7 linked regions of the Xenopus tropicalis genome follow. The protein of the gene in region 6 binds, or shares a complex with, the protein of the main gene of each other region. Links are inferred from orthologs where the notes say so. Each region holds a gene or a part of one and is shown on either strand. Other genes may lie near its edges. The genes, in order: taf1d, tbp, polr2h, polr1b, taf1b, taf1c and taf1a.

Region 1 (4,223 bases), on a different chromosome or scaffold from region 6:
CATCGGCACGCAGAAAATCTTTCATTCTTTGCACCGGTCCCCGGGAGGAAAAATGTTGGGGACAGCTGCGTTAGGGCACTCTAACTATACACAAGAAGCTTCACCAGGCTCACTTCCCATAGGCAATGTAGGACATGCAACATAGGGTACACACAGGGAACAGAGGGCAGACAGACTAGGGGGCACAGGCAGGGAGCAGAGGGCAAGCAGAGTAGGGGGAAGAGGCAGTAGTACTCTAGCAGTAACACCAGTCCCACCAATCACCACATTTGCCACACTCACCCTATCAGGGCTGACCCACCCAATACCCCACTAACCCCCCCAGGGCAGGCAGTAGGGCACCTAGTAGTAGAGCCTAGAGTCACCCTAGTAGGCACAGGCAGAGAGCAGGGGGGGACAGGAAAACAGCAGAGGGCACAGGCAGTAGTACCAGCCCCAACAAACATCCCATTTGCCACACTCACCCTCTCAGGGCTGCCCCACCCAACCTCCCAGGGCAGGCAGAGTATGGGGGGCACAGGCAGAGAGCAGACAGCAGAGTAGGGCAGAGGGCACAGTCAGGGAGCAGAGGGCAGACAGAGTAAGTGGGTGCAGGCAGAGTAGAGCCTAGAGTCAGCTAGCAGTCACAGGGGCACAGGCAGGGAGCAGAGGGCAGGCAGACTAGGGGGGGACAGGCAGGGAGAAGAGGGCAGGCAGAGAAGGCCACCTAGTAGTAGAGCCTAGAGTCACCCTAGTAGTAACACCAGCCCCACCAAAAATCACATTTGCCGCACTCACCCTCTCAGGGTTGCCCCACCCAATACCCCACCAAACCTCCCAGGGCAGGCAGTGTAGTGGCACACAGGGAGAAGAGGGCAGGCAGAGTGGGGCACACAGGCAGAGAGCAGACAACAGAGTAGGACAGGGAGCAGTAGGGGGCGCAGGCTGAGTAGGGGAACACACAGGGAACAGAGTGCAGAGAAGGGCACCTAATACAGCCTAGAAGTCACACCTGCCCTACCAAACCTCCCAGGGCCACCGCACCAAAAGCCACATTTGCCACTCACCCTCTCAGGGCTGCCCCACCCAATACCCCACCAAACCTCCCAGGGCAGGCAGTGTAGGGGGCACAGGCAGGGAGCAAAAGGCATGCAGAGAAGGGCACCTAGTAGTACAGCCTAGAGCCACTCTAGTAGCCACATCTGCCCGACCAAACCTCCCAGGGCCACCCCACCAAAAGTCGCATTTGCAACACTCACAAAACACGAGAGACTTCCCAGAGCTCTGTATCTCTCACTCACAGAGTAACCCACCGTCGTCTCGACAACGCACGAAAGACCGTCGCGCCTTTAGGTGGAACTTATATACACCATGTATACCACGTGACGATGACGCCGCACGATGACGTGCCCGGGCTCGGCATAGGCTTTACATACAGCACGTGCATCACGTGACGATGATGCAGTGTACACGTGACAAGGACGTCACTTGGATACGCCCATACACCACGTGTATAACGTGAAGATGACGGCGTGCGGAACGTGCCAATGATGTCACTGGGGTACGAATAGCCACTAGGAACTAATGGCTACCATCGCAGCAATGTTTGAGGAAGGAAGTGAACCAGATGCACACAGCTATGATATTCTTCAAAGCCAAGAACTTTTTAGTGATTCGGATTGTAATTTATTAACGAAGGATGCCAGTAAGCCAAACAAAAGTCCAACTAACAGTCATCATGGCCGTCTGCTGGACAGGTAAGTTTATACCTAGTTTAATAAAAGTTTATTGACATAGAAAACAGAGCTGACCATTTGTATTTTAAAATACAGTCACGTCAGGTAATTTGTCACTTCAGGGTTTTGTAACTCTTGGATTGGAAGACAATTGTAATCACTTAGGGGCACATTCATTAAAAGTACGACAGGTCCGATTTCAAAAATTTGTATTTTTTCTAAAGTTTACAACTTCTGCGTATTTTGAGTAACTTTTTTCGTACTTTGTGTCAATTTGTGCAACAAAATCGCATTTGTCACAACAAGTACGAAAGTTTCGGATTCATTTAAGCTAGTGCTGGGCGGTATACCGGTTTAACCGGTATACCGGTTTTTGAAAAAAAAACGATATGATTTTTGAACATACCGCTATACCGGTATGCGTGCCTCCTGCAGTTTTTATCCAATTACATCCGGGTTGCGCCCGTGCGCACGTGACGTCGGCGCGCATGTGACGTCGGCGCGCACGCGACGTCGCTAGGACGCATCGCTGGAGGAACCACAAGTTGGGTAAGTGGGGCTGGGGTTGTGGCTGTGGCTGGGGCTGGGGGGGTTGTGGCTGGTGCTGGGGTTGGGGGGGTTGTGGCTGGTGCTGGGGTTGGGGGGGTTGTGGCTGGTGCTGGGGTTGGGGGGGTTGTGGCTGGTGCTGGGGTTGGGGGGGTTGTGGCTGGTGCTGGGGTTGTGGCTGGGGCTGGGGCTGGGGGGGTTGTGGCTGGTGCTGGGGTTGTGGCTGGTGCTGGGGTTGGGGGGTTGTGGCTGTGCTGGGGTTGTGGCTGGTGCTGGGGTTGTGCTGGTGCTGGGGTTGGGGGGGTTGGGGCTGGGGCCTGGGGGGTTGTGCTGGTGCTGGGGTTGGGGGGGTTGTGGCTGGGTTGGGGGGGCTGTGGGGGTTGTGGCTGGGGGCTGGGGGGGGTTGTGGCTGGGGGGGCTGGGGTTGGGTGGTTGGGGTTGGGGGGGTTGTGGTTGGGGGGGTGGGGGGGCCACCAATATTTATTATTTATTTTTTATTTATATACCGTCAAATACCGTGATACCGATATAATTTTGAAAAATACCGTGATATAAATTTTTGGTCATACCGCCCAGCTCTAATTTAAGCTTCGTTATTGTGACTTTCCGTGGGCCAGGTTGGAGCTGCAGAGTGCCATTGAGCCCCATGGGAGACTTTCCTTGGGCCGGGTTGGAGCTGCAGAGTGCCATTGAGCCCTATGGGAGGCTTTCCTTGGGCCGGGTTGGAGCTGCAGAGTGCCATTGAGCCCTATGGGAGACTTTCCTTGGGCCAGGTTGGAGCTGCAGAGTGCCATTGAGCCCTATGGGAGGCTTTCCTTGGGCCGGGTTGGAGCTGCAGAGTGCCATTGAGCCCTATGGGAGGCTTTCCTTGGGCCGGGTTGGAGCTGCAGAGTGCCATTGAGCCCTATGGGAGGCTTTCCTTGGGCCGGGTTGGAGCTGCAGAGTGCCATTGAGCCCTATGGGAGGCTTTCCTTGGGCCGGGTTGGAGCTGCAGAGTGCCATTGAGTCCTATGGGAGGCTTCCAAAATCATTCACTGAAGGTTCAAACTCAGAAAGGTTTTCCCGCCGTTTACGATCGTTTGGATTCCAACATTTCATAACTTTCGGATCGTACCACAATATTTTCGTACAAGCACGACGTGACTTTTTCGCAAAATTAACGCACATCAGAAATTTGTGTATTTAATTCAAATTTTCACAAATCGTACTTGTAATTTGTACTTTAATGAATCTGGCCCTTAGTTTAAGGGTGATGGCGTATTGGGCACTTTGTTGTTCACATGAAATTGTGTAACCCTGTCATCAAATTGCTGGAAAATACATTTTAAATATTCACAAAATGCATCTTCCTCTATTTTGGGGTGGTGTGCACACAACAATTCCCATGATCAGCAATGATTAGCTATTTTTGGGTGTTTTAATACCCATACAAGAGCTTATTTTGCATGGGCACCAAAACACCCACATTCTATCCTCCTTGAAGGGGACATATAACTTTATTGTGCACATGTTAAAAAAGGTACTACAATAAGTGAGTGGGTTAAAGAGATGGGAAATGTTATGCGAATGGAGGAACTACTTATTAATGTCCAGGGGACACCAGACAAATTTGTCTCGACATGGTCCCCATGGATTATGTTCTTAGAATCATATAAAGATAAATGAATGAAACTGGACTAGGAACACTACTAGAAAGCAGATATACATGAAAAGGTCTAACGTTAATTGCTGGAAACGATATGAGGTTAACAACGGAGCGGCTGAGCGACTGAGCACTTCCAAGTTCTGTTCCCCCCCCCATTATGAAAATTCTCTTTCCCCCTTCATCTTCTGGTTTCTGGAAAAAGTTATCTCCCCTTCTCTCTTACCCCCCCCCCCCCCCTTCCTTCCTTTTCTCACCATGCTTTTTTCCCTCAGTACCATATCAGACAACATGGTAATAATGACAGCAACAGCTTAACT
Region 2 (4,203 bases), on a different chromosome or scaffold from region 6:
GATAACCCATCCTCATGCCACTTCTAGGCCAGCATAAAAATACTATGCCCAGTGGGTATGGCAGGACAAAATTACAAACAGGAAATCCTTTTCTCATCACACATTTACAGAATTAAGTGCCATACAATGCACCAGTGTGTTCTCCTGAATGACTTTTACAGATAGATAAGAATATTTAGGGCTGTGACAGACGAGATGATTAGTTGCGACTAATCTCCCCGAAATGCCATCCCACCGGCTAGAATGTAAATCGCAGGTGGGATGGCATACGCGGCATCTTTGAGAGGAAACTTCGGCGATGCTTATGCCATCCCACTGGCAATTTACATTCCAGCCAATGGGATAGTATTTCGAGGAGATTAGTTGCTCGCGACAAGGGAGATTTGTCACGTGGCAACTAATCTCCCCGTCTGTCACAGTGAAAGCAACTATTAGGTGAATAAGATACAACAAAGGCTTTTGTCTTACCTTAGGGTTATACTCTGCATTTCGCGCTCTAAGTGCAATTGTTTTCAGATCCAGTTTGCAGCCAAGATTTACAGTGGACACTATGTTCCTGAACAATGTAAAAGCAGTTATTACAAATCCAAATATTTTTGCTCACTGTATTTAAAGGTATTCAGTCATTAATTTTTATTGTGTACTTATATTTCTAAATTACTGTTTACATAGCAAATAATTTACCATTTAAAATTTTATTCTTAAACCAACAAAAGTAATTTTTTAGTTGTAGGCAGCCAGATCAGTGCATTGTGCCCGAGTCTGAGCTTTCAGAAGGAGCCAGAGCTACTGGACTTGAATTTTTTTTTTTTTTTTACTATTGAGTACTGTTCTGATATCTACTGGGAGCTGCTAGCTTGCTAACTTACATTGTTCTGCTGATCGCCTGCAGGGGGATGATGATATCACTCCTATCTGCAGCACAGTAGTAAAGTGTGACTGACCTTTATCAGAGCAAAAGTCACATGACTGTGGCACCCTGGGAAATGAACATGGCTAGCCCCATGGGAAATTTTTAAAAAGTATTACAAAAAAAAAATTTGCACTATTAGTACTTGTAAAAGTGCTAAACTATTTTAATTTCCCAATTCTTTACTTGTTCTATTTTTCACACATGTTGGACAGATATAGGACACATTAAAACTAGGATACTACTGTACATGCTAAATTACATATCAAGACAAGTCTTTCTCCCTCAATAAAGTTTCACTTTAAATATGACATCAATTCAGTCTCAAGAATGTGGTGTAAAAGTCTGAAATGAGGAAACCGTCTGCATCTGTTTCTAGACCTAATATATACACACACCCCTGGCCTGGTAGCTTTTAAATCTAATATGGACTCCTATATTTTTAAGAAATGTAGCTTTTTTTTTTTTTAAACAAATGTAACACTCACAGGGTAAACAAAGGTAATGCAGCACTGTTAAAATACTCATTAGTACCAAAGGTAAAACAAAGATAAGGTCTTTTAATTTTGACAGGCCACACTCAAATGTGGTATAACAAATAAAGTCATTACTGTCTAAAATTAAAATATGCCAGAATATGTTTCCATTTCCTGTATATCTAATATTTACCATTTGCAGAGTTGTATGCTCTATGGCACTACAGAAATGTACAGACAAACATAAGGATTTGTTGACAAGTGTGCAGATACAGATAATCTGACAAATGATATCTGCAAAATGTCCCCCAGGATGATGAGACTTACTGTAGCTGAGGAACAATTCCTGAACTTTCTGATGCAGGGGTAGCAGGAGTAATAGGGGTCATGGGAGTCATTGGGGAGGGGTATAAGGGTGTATTTCCTGGAAGAGGTGCTGTGGTAAGAGTCTGTGGGTGAAACAGTTGTGGGGTTTGGCCTGACCCCTGATTGCCTTGTTGTGATGTAGACTGCTGGGCCTGTTGTTGTTGTCTTTGCTGTTCTTCCAATATTGATAAACTGTTAGTTGTTTGTACAGGTTGAGGGGTCAGACCAGTTCCATAGGGCATCAACGGACTGAAAATGTTAATCCCTGGAGTCAGAGAACCCTACAGAAATAAAAGACAAAAAAAAAAAAAAAATTATAACAAATTTGCTCTCAAACCCACACACAAGTTGAATCACAAGTTAAAATGGGCTTAGTACATGGGGATTTCTTTAATGAAAATCTTATGGTATAGCCCTGCACATGGAGTAGGACAAGCTAAGGGCTCTTACACACAGGTGTTTTCACCCTGCAGTCTCCCGAATTGGATTTCTTCTCCTTTCCACCACAAGGAAGCATAGGATGAAATGCAGCTCTATATTCATTCACATGCATGAATGAGAACGGAACACATCTGTTTTGTGTTCAAGAGCCCTCAGGATGGCGTTCCTCCACCTATTACGACAAGCGCCCCAGCAAGAGAAACATTTGCATTGAAGCCAATATTGGCTGCTGACTTGCATTTCCCCCCTAAGTCAGTTGGAAGCATATTGGCCTGTGTCTCAAGTTTTTCTTCTATTTTTTCATTCTTCAGTATTGTATCTGTTGTCCAAATTAACCACACCCGGTATACCGTATACCCCCCAATTTAGAAAGTGCAAATGAAGTGAATATTACAATGCTTTTAAAGGCATTTTATTTTATGGAGGGGGAATTGTGGTAAAAGGGAAAAAAGGGTTCACACTTACCTGTGGTGATGCCAACCCCTGGAAAGGGGGTATACTGTTGTTTTGATCCATGTTGCGTTAATTGGAAATCCCACTAAGAATAAAACAAAGTGTGCTGTTCCTACAAATTAAAATAAACCATTCCAGCAGCAGACAAAAATCCTATAAAAAGAAGTTAAAAAAAAAAAAAAAAAAAAAACATTAAAACATAGCTTACATTCAGCAGTTAGCACCTGTATTGGTAAATGTGATAAGTTAACAGTAGGACAGAGGGCCATAACAACGAGCCAATGTGGTCCCCGATCCGTGTTGGGGGTGCCCATACACAGGCAGATAAGCTGCCAAATTGGTCTGAAGGAACTAAATTGGCAGCTAGAACCTGCAAGTGTATGACAACCTTATGTGACCATAGCAAGCAGTAAAGACAACACCATGAAGCTAATCTGCTATTAATCCTACTGTATAAATCAGTGACCCAACAACTAGATGACTGTTTAAAAGAACAAATAAAGTAAAAAAAAAAAAAAGATAAGATGTAGGGGATATTTATAATATTAGCAGCAGCAAATTGCTTGAAATGACAAAAAAAGGTATACTAAAATGGTGTAGTCAAATTATACACTTGCAGATGTCACAATGGGATTCCTTCAAGCAAAATTTGTAAAATGACCTGCGTGTGGTTTTAGTTTCTCCAAATCTCTTAAGGGCTCTGGCACACGGGGAGATTAGTCGCCACGACAAATCTCCCTGTTCGCGGGCGATTAATCTCCCCGAAATGCCATCCAACCGGCGAAAATGTCATTCGCTGGTGGGATGGCATACGTGGCGGCACGATTTCAGTGAAATAGCGGAAGTTTCCTCTCAAGGCAACTTCCGCGATTTCACTGAATCGCCGGTGGGATGGCATTTTGGGGAGATTAGTCTCCCGCGAACAAGGAGATTTGTCGCGGGTGACTAATCTCCCCGTGTGCCAGAGCCCTAAGAAGCTATAAAAACCATAAACGTATTCATTCAGATGTAATAATCAAGCCTTGTTATATCTAAATTCTGAGATTTTGTAGTACAATAATACAAATTTTGCTATATGTGCCCCTAAACCTTTTTCTCTGAGGAACCAATTAAACGCACAAATTAGTTTCACAACACAAGGTTGGTTTATGTACATAACTTAGTGCCTAATTTCCATTGTACTCAGTAAGATCATGCCTCAACAGTACAGGGAGCCGTAGGTTTATTGCTGAGTTTAGGCTGTAGCACTACAGAATGAGCTAGAAAATAGTAGAAACTATTAGACTAGATAAAATGGCTCCAAATCAAATTGGTCAGCTCAAGGCCAAAGAAGCAAATCTAAAATTTGCCCAGCTTTAAAGGAGAAGGAAAAGTAAAATGACTGGTAGTAGTAAATATTATTAGGCATCCTCAGGGATTCCAGCCACTTAGTTTACCTGCTTCAGCAACCCCACCCCCTTTCAGGCATAACCTGCCAGGCTTGGGCAAGGGCATGTGCACTACAGAACTCTCATATTTCTGTACCACTCATACCCACCCTAGACTGTACCATTCACA
Region 3 (4,286 bases), on a different chromosome or scaffold from region 6:
GGGCTGATTTACTAATCCACGAATCCGAATCCCGAATGGGAAAAAATCGGATTGGAAACGAACATTTTGCGATTTTTTCGTCGCCGTCACGACTGTTTCGTAAATTGTCGCGACTTTTTCGTAGCCATTACGACTTGCTCGGAAATTGTCACAACTTTTTTGTAGCCATTACGACTTGCTCGTAAATTGTCACAACTTTTTCGTAGCCATTACGACTTGCTCGTAAATTGTTGCGACTTTTTCGTAGCCGTTATGACTTGCTTGTATATTGTCGCGACTTTTTCGTATTGAGCGCTCGTAAATGGCGGGCAAACCTTTGCGACTTTGCATGATTTTGGAAGCCTCCCATAGGACTCAATGGCACTCTGCAGCTCCAACCTGGCCCAAGGAAAGTCACAATACTGAAGCTTGAAAGAATCTGAAACTTTCGTACTCGGCGCGACAGCTATGAAAAAGTCGCGAGAATTTACGAGCAAGTTGTAATGGCTACGAAAAAGTCTCGTCAATTTACGAGCAAGTCGTAATGGCTACGAAAAAGTCTCGACAATTTACGAGCAAGTCGTAATGGCTACGAAAAAGTCTCGACAATTTACGAGCATGTCGTAACGGCTACGAAAAAGTTGCGACAATTTACGAGCAAGTCATAATGGCTACAAAAAAGTTGCGTCAATTTCCGAAAAAATCGCAAAATACCGATCATTACGAATGAAACGCATTCGGACGTTCGTGGATTAGTAAATGTGACCCTTCGTTTGTGAGCAAAAGCAAACTAACTGAACAGTTCCTTGTGCGACCAAAAGCGATGTGTATACCATCCCACAGGCAATTTACATTCTTGCTGATGGAAAGGCATTTCAGAGATTAGTCGCCCGCAATGGTGAAGATTTATCATGGGCGACTAATCTCCGTGTGCCACTGCCCTAACGGCTATTATGCTAGACACCTGCTCACCCCAGCCTTTATAGATTACATTTTCGCTTAACAATATTGAGAATATTTATTTTGTGCAGTCTATTTTACCCAGTTTCATTTTTTACACTGAACTGTTACCCTAATGGTTTTACAATTGTGTCTGTAAAACGCAGATCTGTGCATTTGATTGTTACTATAACCAACATAATAATCAATAACTGCAAAAAAAACTAAAATTACTAAAATTTCACTGGGCTTTACTTTGCTGGTGGCAACCAGGAAAAAAAAAATCTTCCTTCCCTATATGAATGACTGCTAAGGAAATATTTGGAGCTGAGGTGGCAGAAGGCAACTGACATGAAAAATAGTCTTTTTCTCTTTTCTAACAGAAGTAGGAGTAGAACTGGAAGCTGACTTTCTAGCAGCTGCCTACTGTGTGACGCGATTACGTAGGCTCGTTACTCCCAGGCGGCTGCGTAATGCGTCATTGCGTTACGTGTAGTCGTGACGCCAGTCTCGCGTGATGAGACTTTGACGTCGGGATTTTCTGTAAACGAGACTAGAAGCCGGCAGGCTTTGCGGGAAGAGTAAGTAGTGATACGGGACTGCGGGTTTTGTAAGGAAAAGCGGGACTTTCGGGCAGTATGCACATACTTGGATTGCCGCCCTCCCCCTTCTGTCATTGATTTGGGAAGGGAGGGCGGAAGCTAGGGTTCCTATGTGTTCTTTCCAAATTGAAGGATGTGACGGCAAAATCATGCAGAACAGCACGTGGAAACATAAAAAAAAAATCAGCGTCAAAATTTCAAAGCAATAAGAATGTAGAAACTTAATAGTGTCAGGATATCTTTACGTATCTCCAAATTATTAAGGAAAACAGTCTGACCATTAGAAATCTCATTCAGTTATAGAAAACAAAATATCCCTGCACAGATATTAATAAGAGTCTACCTTTCTAGCTATCTGCCATGGCTGGCATTTTGTTTGAAGACATCTTTGATGTAAAGGATATTGATCCAGAAGGAAGAAAATTTGATCGAGGTAAGCAGCATAGCAAAGCCAAACATGTCTGCTCCAAACATGAAAGGTCCATTTATTTTCTTTACATTGCTAATGTTGTGACTTTTCTTCTAGTGTCAAGGTTACATTGTGAAAGTGAGTCTTTTAAGATGGATTTGATCCTTGATGTTAATATACAGGTTTATCCTGTGGACTTGGGTAAGTTGGGATTTGTTGTCTGTACATTGACATGATTATAGCAGTCATTTTTGAAATAGGAGTCCACTTTAGAGACAAACACAATATCATAAAATGAAAATAATATTTTCAGTGGATTTATGTTTTGCAAACACAACGTCTAAAATGTCAAAAACAAAATTGACTTATCTGACAGTTTTCAGCCTTTTGTTACCTGTTAAGTAACACTCTGCAAGTGTCGGTGAACCCTTAGCAACTATCATTTGCAAATACAGTTTATTTAGTCTGTCTGATTCTGGGTCTTGCCAGTTGTAAGACCAGAAACAAACTTTATTATGGTTAATGCATATCTTGGTGCAGTGTGCTGTTGGGGTGGTATCAGAAGCTGGAGGATTTTTAGGGTGAATAGGAGTTGATCCTCTAGTTGTGTAAGTAGCACATACCTGAAGTAGCTTGTAAAATCTATGGTGCGGGTTCTATAGATCTGCTTTATGGGTTCCATTCTAAAAAAAAATGATGGCATGGCTGGCACTGCATTGACTAAACACGGTGCATAAATGCAAAGATGTATTTAAATTCTACCACATTACCAGTGTTTTATGAAGATTAACTGCACAACAGTTGTTAAATTGTGTGTCCTCTTACTCTTCTTCCACAGGGGATAAATTCCGCTTGGTTATTGCCAGTACGCTCTATGAGGATGGTACATTGGATGACGGAGAGTACAATCCTACTGATGACCGACCCTCAAGGTATCATATTACTGCAGATAAATAAAAAGGAACATATGGTTCATCCTGTTGGTTTCCAAATTATAGTCTTTGTGAGGCACGTGACTCATGCATTGCATTTCTTCTTTTAGAGCTGACCAGTTTGAATACATCATGTACGGCAAGGTCTATCGGATAGAGGGTGATGAAACTTCCACAGAAGCCGCTACCCGCCTGTAAGAATCCAAATCATCTACCCAGTTACTTGCTTCTTCATCTTAAACCTGCATGTGCTCTTTGTATGAAAAGACAAGAAGGTTTTTGCACCTGGGCCAGAAAGGCAACACACAGAAATTATTAGGGATGCACCAAATCCCAGATTCGGTTCGGGATTCGCCCCAAATCCTGCCTTTTTTTGATGGATTCGGTTTCGGCTAAATCCACTGTCCCAGCCGAACCGAATCATAATTAGCATAAATTTGTATATTCTAATTAGCATCCAGAAAGGGTTAAAATTTAGGGGGGGAGAATCCACTATGCGAGGATTGATCGTCGCATAGTGGATTCTGCCCTGCATCGCTGTATCACCCTCTTTCAAATGACCGGAAGCCAAGATTTAGCAGGTATTTTCTAATAAAGCATTCAAAATAATAAATGGTGTGCAGGATAGGGCAATTATTGGGGCAGGGTAGAATACATTTTTTAATTAAAAATTTTTAGTGTTACTTTTCCTTTAACAATTATTGCCAGGCTCCACCATGCCAATAAGCTGAACTGTAGACCACATCCAATAAGAGGATTACTCCTATTGGAATCTATGGATATGGCAAGCCTAGAACTCCACAGTAAGGGTTATATTTATCATGCTGTGTAAAAAAGTGGAGTAAAACAGTACCAGTGATGTTGCTCATAGCAGCAAAATCAGATGCTTTGCTTTGGTTGAACTGTTGAAATCTAATTGCTGATTGGCTGCCCTGAGCAACATCACTAGTAATGCTTCACTCCACTTTTTACACAGCATAATAAATATACCCCAAAGTCTACAATATAGTGGGATGGAATTTAAAGATAAGGGTGCATGTTTCAGATTTACAGTTTAATCAGTAGAAGGTGATTTATTAGGGAATTCTCTGACATCTCTCACTTTTTAATAGACACCAAATTGAATTGTGCAGAATAAGCAGCACCATTTATGGTGGATGAAAGCAAGCAATACTAATAGGGTTTATTTTTCTGTAAACTTGAAAGGGACTTATGTTTCACTTGTGCCCTTACTCTTTCACACAAGTTGCCTCTACTTTCCAATATTCTCTGTGTTCCATAACGTGCTCATGTTTCCTCTAGGTCTGCATATGTATCATATGGAGGACTTCTAATGAGGCTTCAGGGAGATGCTAACAATCTGCATGGATTTGAAGTGGATTCTCGTGTTTACCTCTTGATGAAGAAGCTGGCTTTCTAATGCTG
Region 4 (3,986 bases), on a different chromosome or scaffold from region 6:
TAGAAATCCTCACAAAAGGGGTGGGGCGTGCACCTATAAATTAGAGAGCTGAAAGAGGAAGCTGGCAGTGTAAGGTCAAGGCCGCCGCTCCCTATAAGCAGAGTACTCAGTCTGCATAGGGCACCAACTCCCAGGGGGGCACCATCCCAGCTGCTCCAAAAAAAACAAACCATTTTTATATATTATAACATACCCCCCAACACTGTCCCGCTGGTTTTTATAGCGCATCCCGCTGTCCCGGATAGTTCAATCAATCTATGGGGGCTATTGGGGGCACTGTGTGTGGGGCCCCTATAGTAGGTGTTTTTTTTTTATTTTATTTTTACTTCCGTAATATTTGGGGGAGGGGGCACAAAAGTACATTTCTGCTTAGGGCACCCATTTGGCCAGCAGCGGCCCTGTGTAAGGTTGTGGGCATGGAGGGTGACCGGACGCACCCAACCCGCAAATGATGTGCCGAAGTCATCCCAAACCCACCCGACCCACACATCACTACTATGCAGGATATCGATTCTATATGTGGCCAGTATTAAATAGGGTGAGGAGGCAACTCAACTGGGTTTGGTGACCAAACATTGATTTGTTTCTTATTTAAAATAGGCAAAAAGAATGTTCAGCTCATGCCCTATTCACTGAACTCATATTGCAATGCACCCCTAGACTATAACAAGTCAGACTGTGTATATAGAGGGACAACTAGCTTGTAGCCTGTAGTTTTTGCTGAATAAACCCTGCCAGATAGCTACTGATGGGAGGGTGCTGGTAGTTGTAGTGCATTAGCTTTATCTGCATGTTATGAAGAGCTTCATAAATAAAAAAAATTATATTATACCCCACCTCCCCATTCTATATGCAAGTTACTTGAACTACTGTCTACCCCCCTCCACTCCCCTTTAGAAAGTTTCCTGTGGGAACGACCAATACAGGCACATTAAGTGAAGGCGATATAGCTGAACATAGCCATTTAAAAGGGAAAGTTAACACTGCCAGAATGAATTGATTTTAACCTGACGCTGTGGACATTGGGTAGCAGTGCATACAGAATAGAACCATACGTGCTTGTGTACATACACCAAGGGGCTTCTAAGAGCGACTGCTGCTCAGCTTCCAATCCAACCCGGCAAGAGTCCAGGCACCAGCAGAACAGCTGTGACATGTCCCGGAAGTGCGTCCCAAGTAGGAAGTAGGCTGCAGCGCTACACGTGTGGCTAGTCCCGCCCCTTCCCCTGCACATGGGCTGCTTGCCTGGCGCTCAGGATTCTCAGGGCTAACTGACTGCCACTTACTGCAGGATGGAAACGGACACTAAGTGGCAAGCGCTGCTCAGGGAGCCTAGCCTGGGCAAACTTACCAGTCCCGACTATGGGATTCCCGGGGAGAGCCAGCACCCTCCTCTGCAGGATATCACTCGGGCTCATATCGACTCCTTCAACCAAGCAATGACAGAGGGGCTGAGTCTGGCGGTGCAGGTGAGGGAAGTTGGGGTCTAGGAAGGGGTGGTATAGCTGCTGATGTGGGTCTGTATAGTAGAGATGTCTGAGATCAAAAAGCAGATACACATGTGAGCACTCCCTGGGACTCTGCACTGCCCTGCCATTGATCTCTCTCCTGAACCTCCCCTTAGTATTGTTATAGTATCAATATGCACTAATGTACATATACAGCACAAGCCTTTCTCAGAATAACACAACCCTGTTAAACCACTAGTAAAGGAAGCATTGATGATATCATAGTAACATAGTAAGTTAACTTGAAAAAAGACATACGTCCATTACGTTCAACCATAATGCCTATATATAACCTGCCTAACTGCTAGTAGATCCAGAGGAAGGCAAAAAACCCCATCTGAAGCTTCTCTAAATTGCCTCAGAGGGGAAGAAATCCTTCCTGACTCCAAGATGGCAATCGGACCAGTCCCTGGATCAACCTGTACTAAGACCTATCTCCCATAACCCTGTATTCCCTCACTTGTACTGAGAGCTATCCCCCCAAACCCCTGTATTCCCTCACTTGTACTGAGAGCTATCTCCCATAACCCTGTATTCCCTCACTTGTACTGAGAGCTATCTCCCATAACCCTGTATTCCCTCACTTGTACTGAGAGCTATCTCCCATAACCCTGTATTCCCTCACTTGTACTGAGAGCTATCTCCCATAACCCTGTATTCCCTCACTTGTACTGAGAGCTATCTCCCATAACCCTGTATTCCCTCACTTGTACTGAGAGCTATCTCCCCTACCCCTGTATTCCCTCACTTGTACTGAGAGCTATCCCCCCTACCCCTGTATTCCCTCACTTGTACTGAGAGCTAAGACCTATCTCCCAATAACCCTGTATTCCCTCACTTGTACTGAGAGCTATCTCCCATACCCCTGTATTCCCTCACTTGTACTGAGAGCTAAGACCTATCTCCCAATAACCCTGTATTCCCTCACTTGTACTGAGAGCTAAGACCTATCTCCCATAACCCTGTATTCTCTCACTTGTACTGAGAGCTATCTCCCATAACCCTGTATTCTCTCATTTGCTAAGAAGCCATCCAGCCCCTTTTTGAAGCTATCTAATGTATCAGCCAGCACAACTGATACAGGGAGGGAATTTCACAGCTCTCACAGTAAAAAATCCTTTCCGAATATTTAAATGGAACCTCCCTTCTTCTAAACGGAGTGGGTGCCCTCGTGTCCGTTGGAAGGACCTACTGGTAAATAAAGCATCAGAGAGGTTATTATACGATCCCCTTATATATTTATACATAGTTATCATGTCACCCCTTAAGCGCCTCTTCTCCAGTGTAAACAGACCCAACTTGGCCAGTCTTTCTTCATATCAGTGACATAATTTCTATGAGACACAGTATGTGATGTAAAAACTATAATAAATAAGTCCCTATGTATGTATAATATAGCGCAAAGTTCAATTCCAATTTATGATGTGTATTTTCACAACAATGATACAAATACACCTGTGACCATTCACAAACAACTGCAGTGTTGAAGATTTTCTAGAGAATTTATGCCACAAAGAAATGAGGTATGTGAAATGTTAGCATGGAGGAGGTGACGTAGGTAATGAGATGCAAAAGTTGATGCTCTCTCCTTGATAAATTGGCAAATAGTCACTGGAAAAATTTCACCTGGTAAAATAATGTGAATAGAATATTCCCCAAATTGAAATTGAGTGAAATTAATTTACCAAAATGTGGTGTACTCTCCTGATTTAATAAATTGACGATGTTGTGGCTTATTTTCACGTTGGCTGAAAATAGTCAAAATTGTAAATTTCACACTGCAGTTAATATGCCCTATAGAGAAAAAGAAACTAGAACTATATATTTACTAACCAAAGCACCAGTTTTATGCTCTAAGTCAGTGCTTGCCAATTATTTCCATATAGTGGGCCAGATATTTACTTTTAGCATATTTGTTGGCCGCATTGAGATGTTATCCAAAGATGCCAGTTGGGTTTTCTTGGAGGGCCACATCTTGTCTGTGGGCGTTCAGTTGGCGGCCCTGCTCTAACTAGTTCCTGGTCAGTCAGTAGCCATACCCATAACCCACACCTGGGCTGAGATTCACAGTCTGCCGTGCTATTACTGAGGCCCAAACAGCCTTCGACAGGCCCAATAGTATGAGTTAGTTGCAGGATACTGCAGCGTCTCTGGTTTTGCTGAAACACTGAAAGTGGCAGTCCAGGCCTGACATAGCCCATAGCACATAGGCCTGGCTTTCAGACTTTTATAGTTTTAAGACAGTGATGCAGATTTGGTCAGGCTTCCTTTAGAGCATAATTTTAGAGATATAACTTTTAAAGGAGTTTTTCACCTTTGAATTTATTTTTGATATGATGTCAACATTGATAATCTAAGGGGCACATTTATCAAAGTACAATTGTCTCCTACTTATTTTTTCTAAGTTTTTGAACTGTACGTATTTTCATCGATTTCTTCCCGTACTGTGCGTCATAATTTACGCAACAATATTGTATT
Region 5 (3,500 bases), on a different chromosome or scaffold from region 6:
TAGCTTAATTAGCTGTCAGTAATATGGCTATCTCCTGGAAATCTACAGTATTCTGGCATGTTTTGTTTTAACCCTCAGATGGATTATACAGTTATGTGATCCGTTATCCAGAAAGTTTCGAATTAGGGAAAGGCCATCTCCCATAGACCCCATTATAAGCAAATAAGTCTAATTTTTTAAAAAGATTTCCTTTTTCTCTGTAATAATAAAACAGTACCTTGTACTTGATCCCAACTAAGATATAATTACCCCTTATTGGGGGCAGAACAGCCCTATTGGGTTTATTTCATGGATAAATGATTCCCTTTTCTCTGTAATAATAAAACAGTACCTGTACTTGATCCCAACTAAGATATAATTACTCCTTATTGGGGGCAGAACAGCCCTATTGGGTTTATTTCATGGTTAAATTATTCCTTTTTCTCTGTAATAATAAAACAGTACCTGTACTTGATCCCAACTAAGATATAATTACCCCTTATTGGGGGCAGAACAGTCCTATTGGGTTTATTTAATGGTTAAATGATTCCCTTTTCTCTGTAATAATAAAACAGTACCTGTACTTGATCCCAACTCAGATATAATTACCCCTTATTGGGGGCAGAACAGCCCTATTGGGTTTATTTAATGGTTAAATGATTCCCTTTTCTCTGTAATAATAAAACAGTACCTGTACTTGATCCCAACTCAGATATAATTACCCCTTATTGGGGGCAGAACAGTCCTATTGGGTTTATTTAATGGTTAAATGATTCCCTTTTCTCTGTAATAATAAAACAGTACCTGTACTTGATCCCAACTAAGATATAATTACCCCTTATTGGGGGCAGAACAGCCCTATTGGGTTTATTTCATGGTTAAATGATTCCCTTTTCTCTGTAATAATAAAACAGTACCTGTACTTGATCCCAACTAAGATATCATTCATCCTTATTGAAGGGGAAACAGTCCTATTGGGTTTAATTAATGCTTAAATTGTATGTTGATCCAAATTACGGAATAACCCCTTATCCGGGAAACCCCAGGTCCCAAGCATTTTGGATTATAGGTCCCATACCTATGCGCTCCTATCATGGGGGTTTTGTCCCCCAAAATGAACCAAATTCAATATATTCAAAATTATAGTAGAGGAAGAGTAAAAAGGAAAACAATTTCCCTTTCTGCTCTGCAGAACTAAAAGCTGCTTCTGGGCTCCTGCTACAAGGCTACTGCAAATAGCAGTCATGAATGGCACAGACAATACTGTGGCTATGAGATGCCACTATTAGTACTTGGTAGGAGCACGTTGCCAAGAGGAATCGTGCCCATTGCAACTACGCAGATTAGGTGCTCTTGCTGTGGCCAACACGGGCATTATAAAGAGAGTGTCTGGTTATTAAAATAGTAATTATTTTATTGATACGCTTTGTCAAACAACCTAACCTGGCAGTATACTGTATATGGGCCGCAGAGGCAGTACATAGGAGTACAGTATTTGTTACATTGTCCCGGTAGGAGACCTAACAAAATAAAATGTTTTTTTTTATGCATGCTGATTTGTTTTCTGCTTTTTAACATCAGGTTCATGTGGAAAAGTGATTGTCCATTGTATTACTCCCAAACTACTAAATCTTTGCTTCAGAAGAGGAAACGTGAGTATACCTGTTTTATTTTTGTATACTGTATTATATATATATGTGTGTGTGCATGTGTTCTGTTTACCTAGTGCACAGCCAGTGACCTTTCTCATGGTAGCTCTTTAGCAAGCTCTTTCACTCGATTTAGCCACAAGTATGTTTTTATTTTATATACAGGCATCCAGGGGCTTTCCACCTACAGCTGCCGCCGTAGGATCAGGCTTTTGGGTGCCTATATTGCACTGTGTGGAACTTTGAGGTGGCTTCTTACTGGTTGGTGGGGTCACCGACCCTGGTAGCCATGAAACTGATGCTCTATGAATACACTTGTATTGTTGCTTTTTATTCCTTCTCTTTTTATAGAGGTATTTTCATATCCAGCTTCTATTCTGATTTCCATGCCTCTGCCCGTTTGCTGTGGTAAATGGGACCCTAGAACCATATGGCTTTTAAAATTCCAAGCTGGAGAGCCACAGAATATAAAGTTGAAATACAAATAAATACATAAATACAAATAAGACCAATTTCAAATAGGATACCATTGTCCAAATCATAGTAAATTAATTTCAGGTAAAGCATCCATTTAATTATGCACAACATTAATCATTATAGTTTTCTTTATTGTCATGGCGGTTGGTTTTTTCTTCACGCACAGTTGTGGCCCATTCTTTTTTACCTTCAGCCTTCTTAAGCTAAAAGCATAAAGATTTATAACAACTAAGTAGTTATTGTAGTTTAGCCCTATTTCAATTGCCCCCATTGATACACAGCAGTTTATTTATATACACAATTGTAGTGTTTCTGAAGCAAACAGATCAGTTTTACCAGTGCAGGGCAACGGTACATTATATTTTAATTACTTCAAAACACGTTTATGGTTTTGATGTTGCTGTTCCTTTAACATTATCTTAATAAAAGATAAAAGAAAGAGGTACTTATTATTTATTATGTGTTGTTTTGATGACTAATATGAATTTAATCACCGGTGTTAGAGTCCCATTGTTTTACAGTGTGATTTTCACATCTAAAGACGATAATGAATTGCCGCCGTTACATAAAGATAACAGAATTTAGCTGCGGACAGGTGACAGTTACCTGTAATTACCAGCTCAGTGCGCACTTGTATGAATGATGCCTTTTGTTTCTCTCCGCACAGAGATGTCAGAGAACCTGCAGAGGCAGTTTAGCAAGCTGGCGGGAGCTGCACCTAACACCGGCAAGCAAGGCCCATCAAGTTTCTTGTTTAAATGGGAAGAGCAAAACACAGACACGATTTCTTTTCATGGACACAGCCTGCAGGCCGTTCTGCACCAAGGCAAGAAACCACCTACACCAATAAACACACATTATTGGTTGAACTCACTGAGGAAATGTAAAACCAGGTAAGATTTTCTTAGTCTTTAAGGAATCATTTGCACCTTAACCAGCTCTTCCATGTCAGTATGATAGGCAGAGCAGCTCAACATAGAATAGCAATGAAACCGATGAAAAAAGTCAAATTTGTGGTCTACTATTTGAAAACAATACATTTTGTGGTGGTGAATTCCTTTAGTTTATAAACAGTGTGACCTTTAGATTGAATCCATTGTTCAATAACGGCTTCAGGTCAGTGGCTTCTGTATATACTGTCGTGGCATTTGGTCTTCAACTGGAAATGTTCAGCTTAGTTTTGTAGATTTTTGCCAGATTCTGGGGCTGGGTTTGGAAGGTGTGAAGGTGTTACGTTTGGAAGTAAATTATAGCAGGTTGGATCTGTAGCTCATACACAGTCGGGGGCGGCTATAGATCTTTAGATTTGGTTTGTAGGTAAATAACAGGTGGAGATCTTAAGATAGAGCTTGTAGGTTGCTTGTTGGGAATCATCAGGGTATTTTTCTAGTTCAG
Region 6 (3,500 bases):
TGGAGATGGAGCGACTACACCTCCCACCCGCGGGTGCTGAGCTACGCAGACAGGACAGGAGTTCAGTGTGTGGACATGAGGGTATGAGGGTATCTTTCCTTCCCCACCAAAGCCTCAAATATACCCCCCCATCTGGCACCTAAAGTGGTCAGTGTGAGAGGCAAACTCTTAATGGTGCCAATGGGCTGGGGCAGATTCGCTGTATGAAAGGTTCTTACCCCCTGGGGCCAAATTTGCTCTATTTAATCTCTATTTCTCTCGCTCTCAGGCCCCTAATTCTCAGGGGTTGGACCTTTTCCATATTGGACAAGAAGCTTCGTGTCAGAGAGGAGAGAGAGTCATTTTACCCCAGTGCCTGAGAGGGGAGAACCCAGCCCACTGCCTCATTACTACCCAGGTATCGGTACCCCATACCCACACTGCCCCATTACTACCCAGGTATCAGTACCCCATACCCACACTGCCCCATTACTACCCAGGTATCCGTACCCCGCACTGCCCCATTACTACCCAGGTATCAGTACCCCATACTCACACTGCCCCATTACTACCCAGGTATCAGTACCCCATACTGCCCCATTACTACCCAGGTATCAGTACCCTATACCCACACTGCCTCATTACTACCCAGGTATCAGTACCCCATACCCACACTGCCCCATTACTACCCAGGTATTAGTACCCCACACTGCCCCATTACTACCCAGGTATCAGTACCCCATACCCACACTGCCCCATTACTACCCAGGTATCAGTACCCCATACCCACACTGCCCCATTACTACCCAGGTATCAGTACCCCACACTGCCCCATTACTACCCAGGTATCAGTACCCCACACTGCCCCATTACTACCCAGGTATCAGTACCCCATACCCACACTGCCCCATTACTACCCAGGTATCAGTACCCCACACTGCCCCATTACTACCCAGGTATCAGTACCCCACACTGCCCCATTACTACCCAGGTATCAGTACCCCACACTGCCCCATTACTACCCAGGTATCAGTACCCCACACTGCCTCATTACTACCCAGGTATCAGTACCCCACACTGCCCCATTACTACCCAGGTATCAGTACCCCACACTGCCTCATTACTACCCAGGTATCAGTACCCCACACTGCCTCATTACTACCCCAGGTATCAGTACCCCATACCCACACTGCCCCATTACTACCCAGGTATCAGTACCCCACACTGCCCCATTACTACCCAGGTATCAGTACCCCACACTGCCCCATTACTACCCAGGTATCAGTACCCCACACTGCCTCATTACTACCCAGGTATCAGTACCCCACACTGCCCCATTACTACCCAGGTATCAGTACCCCACACTGCCCCATTACTACCCAGGTATCAGTACCCCATACCCACACTGCCCATTACTACCCAGGTATCAGTACCCCACACTGCCCCATTACTACCCAGGTATCAGTACCCCACACTGCCCCATTACTACCCAGGTATCAGTACCCCACACTGCCTCATTACTACCCAGCTATCAGTACCCCACACTGCCTCATTACTACCCAGGTATCAGTACCCCACACTGCCTCATTACTACCCAGGTATCAGTACCCCACACTGCCTCATTACTACCCAGGTATCAGTACCCCACACTGCCTCATTACTACCCAGGTATCAGTACCCCACACTGCCTCATTACTACCCAGGTATCAGTACCCCACACTGCCCCATTACTACCCAGGTATCAGTACCCCACACTGCCCCATTACTACCCAGGTATCAGTACCCCATACCCACACTGCCCCATTACTACCCAGGTATCCGTACCCCGCACTGCCCCATTACTACCCAGGTATCCGTACCCCATACCCACACTGCCCCATTACTACCCAGGTATCCGTACCCCATACTGCCCCATTACTACCCAGGTATCCGTACCCCATACCCACACTGCCTCATTATTACCCAGGTATCAGTACCCCATACCCACACTGCCTCATTATTACCCAGGTATCAGTACCCCATACCCACACTGCCCCATTACTACCCAGGTATTAGTACCCCACACTGCCTCATTACTACCCAGGTATCAGTACCCCATACCCACACTGCTGCCCCATTACTACCCAGGTATCAGTACCCCACACTGCCCCATTACTACCCAGGTATCAGTACCCCATACCCGCACTGCCCCATTACTACCCAGGTATCAGTACCCCGCACTGCCCCATTACTACCCAGGTATCAGTACCCCACACTGCCCCATTACTACCCAGGTATCAGTACCCCATACCCGCACTGCCCCATTACTACCCAGGTATCAGTACCCCGCACTGCCCCCATTACTACCCAGGTATCAGTACCCCACACTGCCCCATTACTACCCAGGTATCAGTACCCCACACTGCCCCATTACTACCCAGGTATCAGTACCCCATACCCGCACTGCCCCATTACTACCCAGGTATCAGTACCCCGCACTGCCCCATTACTACCCAGGTATCCGTACCCCGCACTGCCCCATTACTACCCAGGTATCCGTACCCCGCACTGCCCCATTACTACCCAGGTATCCGTACCCCGCACTGCCCCATTACTACCCAGGTATCCGTACCCCACACTGCCCCATTACTACCCAGGTATCAGTACCCCACACTGCCCATTACTACCCAGGTATCAGTACCCCCACACTGCCTCATTACTACCCAGGTATCAGTACCCCATACCCACACTGCCCCATTACTACCCCAGGTATCAGTACCCCACACTGCCCCATTACTACCCAGGTATCAGTACCCCACACTGCCCCATTACTACCCAGGTATCAGTACCCCACACTGCCCCATTACTACCCAGGTATCAGTACCCCACACTGCCTCATTACTACCCAGGTATCAGTACCCCCACACTGCTCATTACTACCCAGGTATCAGTACCCCACACTGCCTCATTACTACCCAGGTATCAGTACCCCACACTGCCTCATTACTACCCAGGTATCAGTACCCACACTGCCTCATTACTACCCAGGTATCAGTACCCCACACTGCCTCATTACTACCCCAGGTATCAGTACCCCATACCCACACTGCCTCATTACTACCCAGGTATCAGTACCCCACACTGCCCATTACTACCCAGGTATCAGTACCCCACACTGCCCCATTACTACCCAGGTATCAGTACCCCATACCCACACTGCCCCATTACTACCCAGGTATCCGTACCCCGCACTGCCCCATTACTACCCAGGTATCCGTACCCCATACCCACACTGCCCCATTACTACCCAGGTATCCGTACCCCATACTGCCCCATTACTACCCAGGTATCAGTACCCCCATACCCACACTGCCTCATTATTACCCAGGTATCAGTACCCCATACCCACACTGCCTCATTATTACCCAGGTATCAGTACCCCATACCCACACTGCCCATTACTACCCAGGTATTAGTACCCCACACTGCCTCATTACTACCCAGGTATCAGTACCCCATACCCGCACTGCTGCCCCATTACT
Region 7 (2,623 bases), on a different chromosome or scaffold from region 6:
TTTTTACAAATTTACAAGCAAAACAATTCAACTGCAGGGTTTCCCACCAGCAGGGATTTCAATCAGACTTGCAGGCTCGGTAGTACTGTACTGTGCCTTGTGCCCAACAGCTCTTCACCTTGAACTGCCAATCCTACTGGCACAACTGCTCTGGGCGTGGGCTATAAAGGGGACAATTTTGCCTTTGCACCAAAGGGGTTGGTAAGTGAGGCCTACTATAAAGTGTGCTTACTGACTTTTCTGGGGTTACTATGGAATAAAGACTTGCATGGCATATTGGATACCATTACTGGCCTGGACCCCCTAGAAATTACAACTAATGTACAGTTGGAGGCAGAATATGCAGTTGCGTCCGATCTTAATTGGCCAATCAGGCCACACATGCTGAGAAAGGGCCTTGGGCCAGTTTGTAATGTTACATACAGTATCTTTCAGTTAACCATTGAGGAATGATGGGATGAAAGAATCTTTTCTTCTACTGATTGCATGTGTTTCTGTTGGTCTCAGAGTCAGAAGAGCATCACCAACTCGCGCTGAAAGTTCTGTTTGATCTCCTGGATTTTTCCGGTTGGGGGTACAGTATGGAAGCTTGGCGGCAAATAGGAAAGCGGCTCAAGACAAGTCTGAAAAGGTAAATGGCCTGCTCACCTTTACCCAGTGTCATGTTAGAAGGAAGCAAATTGATAATACCCAGCATCCTTCAGCAGCTTTGATATATACTATTTTTGTGAATTGAGTCTGGTGTTTTACCCACTGTTTGTTTGTCCCATTTTCTCTCCAGAAATCAGGACTTGTGGATTGAGGATCAGTGGAAATCAAGACGCAGCTGGTGGCCTCTTTACCATTTTACTGAGTTCCATGCAAAAAAAGAATGGAAGGAAATCCCGAAACTGGCAATGAAGAAAGCCTTGGCTGCTGGGATTTTATTAGGACCAGGTAACTCTCCACCATTCGTATTGGCTCTCTAACTGGGGGCAAGTATATTTGTTCTCTTAGGGCCACTATAACCTTTTGTTTTCCTGATTAATTCTGCAAAATACACTAGCTTTCTGTCCTAATATAGCATTATCGTATCTCTCTGTACAGGCTATGAGCAAACTTAGGGGGCTGTTCCCGCTGAATTGTGCTTAGTACAGGGGAATCCCTATGCTGCCATAGTTTTAACAAATAGGTATTCAACCGCACAGCCTCTTACTCAGGCTTGATGCATCAATCCTCGCAAGGCACACCGCTAAGCCCTTCAATACAATCCAAATATAGAGGAGAGCACCATAAAGCAGAATTCTGCTAAAATGGTATTTGTTTCAGACCAAAATACACAACATGTTTCAGACAATGTGACGCCCTTTATCAAGTGATAAAGGGCGTCACATTGCCCGAAACATATTGTGTATTTTGGTCTGAAATAAATAGCATTTTAGCAGAATTCTGCTTTATGGTGCTCTCCTCTATATTTGGGCTGCCAAAGTTTTATGGTATCTCTCTGTACAGGCTATTAGCAAACTTAGGGGGCTGTTCCTGCTGAATTGTACTTAGTACAGGGGAATCCCTATACTGCCATAGTTTTATGGTATCTCTCTGTACAGGCTATTAGCAAACTTAGGGGGCTGTTCCTGCTGAATTGTGCTTAGTACAGGGGAATCCCTATGCTGCCATAGTTTTATGGTATCTCTCTGTACAGGCTATGAGCAAACTTAGGGGGCTGTTCCTGCTGAATTGTGCTTAGTACAGGGGATTCCCTATGCTGCATAGTTTTATGGTATCTCTCTGTACAGGCTATGAGCAAACTTAGGGGGCTGTTCCTGCTGAATTGTGCCAAGTACAGGAGAATACCTATGCTGATGCTATGCATGGAGATGCTTGGGCAGGTTGGGCTGTAGTTGTTCTGAAATGTCTAATATCTGCTGAACAATCTCCATATCCCCCAGTTCCCTTGGGGTGCCCATGGGTGTGGGCATGAGAACTAACACAAGTACAGAACAAATGTATACAACATCTTTCTACATTTCTACCCCAAAAGGGCCCCTGCGATCCCGGCAGCCATGACCAATGCCTCTCTGCCCCGCCCCCTAATTTTCCCTTTGCCATAAAAAGGATAGTAAAGAAGTTACCGTACGACATGCGAGCAACCCCTTAATGCCTGTAATTGAGTTTATAGCCGCATTGCGCAACTCCCTCACATTCCTTATTTTAATTAAGTCTTAAACTAGTCAATAAAAATATGTCTGCCCCCTGCCTTTATAGCCAGTTATTTTCTCGCCGGATTTCCCAGGAACACACGTGAATTTTAAAAGGAAGGGGGTTATCCATTAAAGAAACCGCTTTGTGTTGATTACAGGCTGCGCCTATTATAAAGCTGTTTGTCGCCTCGGTAGAAAAACCAAGATGAAAAAGGTGAGAGCCATGAAGACGTTTCTGAAGAATCACAGCTGTTCCTTAGTGGAACGACGGACCCAGCGCCAGATTGTGTTCTTTACGTGCCGAAAAACTACAGCTGCTTCTTAGTGGAAGAGCATTTGGAAGCGCTCATGTGGAGGAATTTGGTTTCCTGCCTGCAGGGTATTTCAGCCATTCTAAACTGTATGTGCTTATTTCATGCTGCAGAGAGAAAATGATCGATTGT

Evidence for each region.
Region 1: taf1c (region 6) and taf1d share a complex: the UniProt entries of both Homo sapiens proteins name them as parts of the transcription factor SL1/TIF-IB complex. The link is inferred for Xenopus tropicalis from reciprocal best matches to the Homo sapiens genes TAF1C and TAF1D.
Region 2: taf1c (region 6) and tbp share a complex: the UniProt entries of both Homo sapiens proteins name them as parts of the transcription factor SL1/TIF-IB complex. The link is inferred for Xenopus tropicalis from reciprocal best matches to the Homo sapiens genes TAF1C and TBP.
Region 3: taf1c (region 6) and polr2h share a complex: the UniProt entries of both Homo sapiens proteins name them as parts of the pol I pre-initiation complex. The link is inferred for Xenopus tropicalis from reciprocal best matches to the Homo sapiens genes TAF1C and POLR2H.
Region 4: taf1c (region 6) and polr1b share a complex: the UniProt entries of both Homo sapiens proteins name them as parts of the pol I pre-initiation complex. The link is inferred for Xenopus tropicalis from reciprocal best matches to the Homo sapiens genes TAF1C and POLR1B.
Region 5: taf1c (region 6) and taf1b share a complex: the UniProt entries of both Homo sapiens proteins name them as parts of the transcription factor SL1/TIF-IB complex. The link is inferred for Xenopus tropicalis from reciprocal best matches to the Homo sapiens genes TAF1C and TAF1B.
Region 7: taf1c (region 6) and taf1a share a complex: the UniProt entries of both Homo sapiens proteins name them as parts of the transcription factor SL1/TIF-IB complex. The link is inferred for Xenopus tropicalis from reciprocal best matches to the Homo sapiens genes TAF1C and TAF1A.

The regions. Positions count from the first base shown.
Region 1 is NC_030678.2:100,292,372-100,296,594, reverse strand, and holds the start of taf1d (TATA box-binding protein-associated factor RNA polymerase I subunit D), read left to right. Parts: upstream 1-1,423; 5' UTR 1,424-1,563; coding exon 1,564-1,736; intron 1,737-4,223. UniProt on the Homo sapiens protein: Component of the transcription factor SL1/TIF-IB complex, which is involved in the assembly of the PIC (preinitiation complex) during RNA polymerase I-dependent transcription.
Region 2 is NC_030681.2:50,706,278-50,710,480, reverse strand, and holds the start of tbp (TATA-box-binding protein), read right to left. Parts: upstream 2,801-4,203; 5' UTR 2,710-2,800; coding exon 2,659-2,709; intron 2,034-2,658; coding exon 1,714-2,033; intron 557-1,713; coding exon 469-556; intron 1-468. UniProt on the Homo sapiens protein: The TFIID basal transcription factor complex plays a major role in the initiation of RNA polymerase II (Pol II)-dependent transcription.
Region 3 is NC_030681.2:99,527,616-99,531,901, reverse strand, and holds the start of polr2h (DNA-directed RNA polymerases I, II, and III subunit RPABC3), read left to right. Parts: upstream 1-1,486; 5' UTR 1,487-1,499; intron 1,500-1,871; 5' UTR 1,872-1,880; coding exon 1,881-1,953; intron 1,954-2,046; coding exon 2,047-2,130; intron 2,131-2,767; coding exon 2,768-2,861; intron 2,862-2,971; coding exon 2,972-3,055; intron 3,056-4,163; coding exon 4,164-4,281; 3' UTR 4,282-4,286. UniProt on the Homo sapiens protein: DNA-dependent RNA polymerase catalyzes the transcription of DNA into RNA using the four ribonucleoside triphosphates as substrates.
Region 4 is NC_030681.2:38,728,151-38,732,136, forward strand, and holds the start of polr1b (DNA-directed RNA polymerase I subunit RPA2), read left to right. Parts: upstream 1-1,186; 5' UTR 1,187-1,292; coding exon 1,293-1,469; intron 1,470-3,986. UniProt on the Homo sapiens protein: Catalytic core component of RNA polymerase I (Pol I), a DNA-dependent RNA polymerase which synthesizes ribosomal RNA precursors using the four ribonucleoside triphosphates as substrates.
Region 5 is NC_030681.2:138,048,867-138,052,366, forward strand, and holds part of taf1b (TATA box-binding protein-associated factor RNA polymerase I subunit B), read left to right. Parts: intron 1-1,560; coding exon 1,561-1,631; intron 1,632-2,772; coding exon 2,773-2,998; intron 2,999-3,500. UniProt on the Homo sapiens protein: Component of RNA polymerase I core factor complex that acts as a GTF2B/TFIIB-like factor and plays a key role in multiple steps during transcription initiation such as pre-initiation complex (PIC) assembly and postpolymerase recruitment events in polymerase I (Pol I) transcription.
Region 6 is NC_030677.2:215,221,027-215,224,526, forward strand, and holds part of taf1c (TATA box-binding protein-associated factor RNA polymerase I subunit C), read left to right. Parts: coding exon 1-81; intron 82-268; coding exon 269-397; intron 398-3,500. UniProt on the Homo sapiens protein: Component of the transcription factor SL1/TIF-IB complex, which is involved in the assembly of the PIC (pre-initiation complex) during RNA polymerase I-dependent transcription.
Region 7 is NC_030681.2:9,693,682-9,696,304, forward strand, and holds part of taf1a (TATA box-binding protein-associated factor RNA polymerase I subunit A), read left to right. Parts: intron 1-507; coding exon 508-631; intron 632-781; coding exon 782-936; intron 937-2,338; coding exon 2,339-2,505; 3' UTR 2,506-2,623. UniProt on the Homo sapiens protein: Component of the transcription factor SL1/TIF-IB complex, which is involved in the assembly of the PIC (pre-initiation complex) during RNA polymerase I-dependent transcription.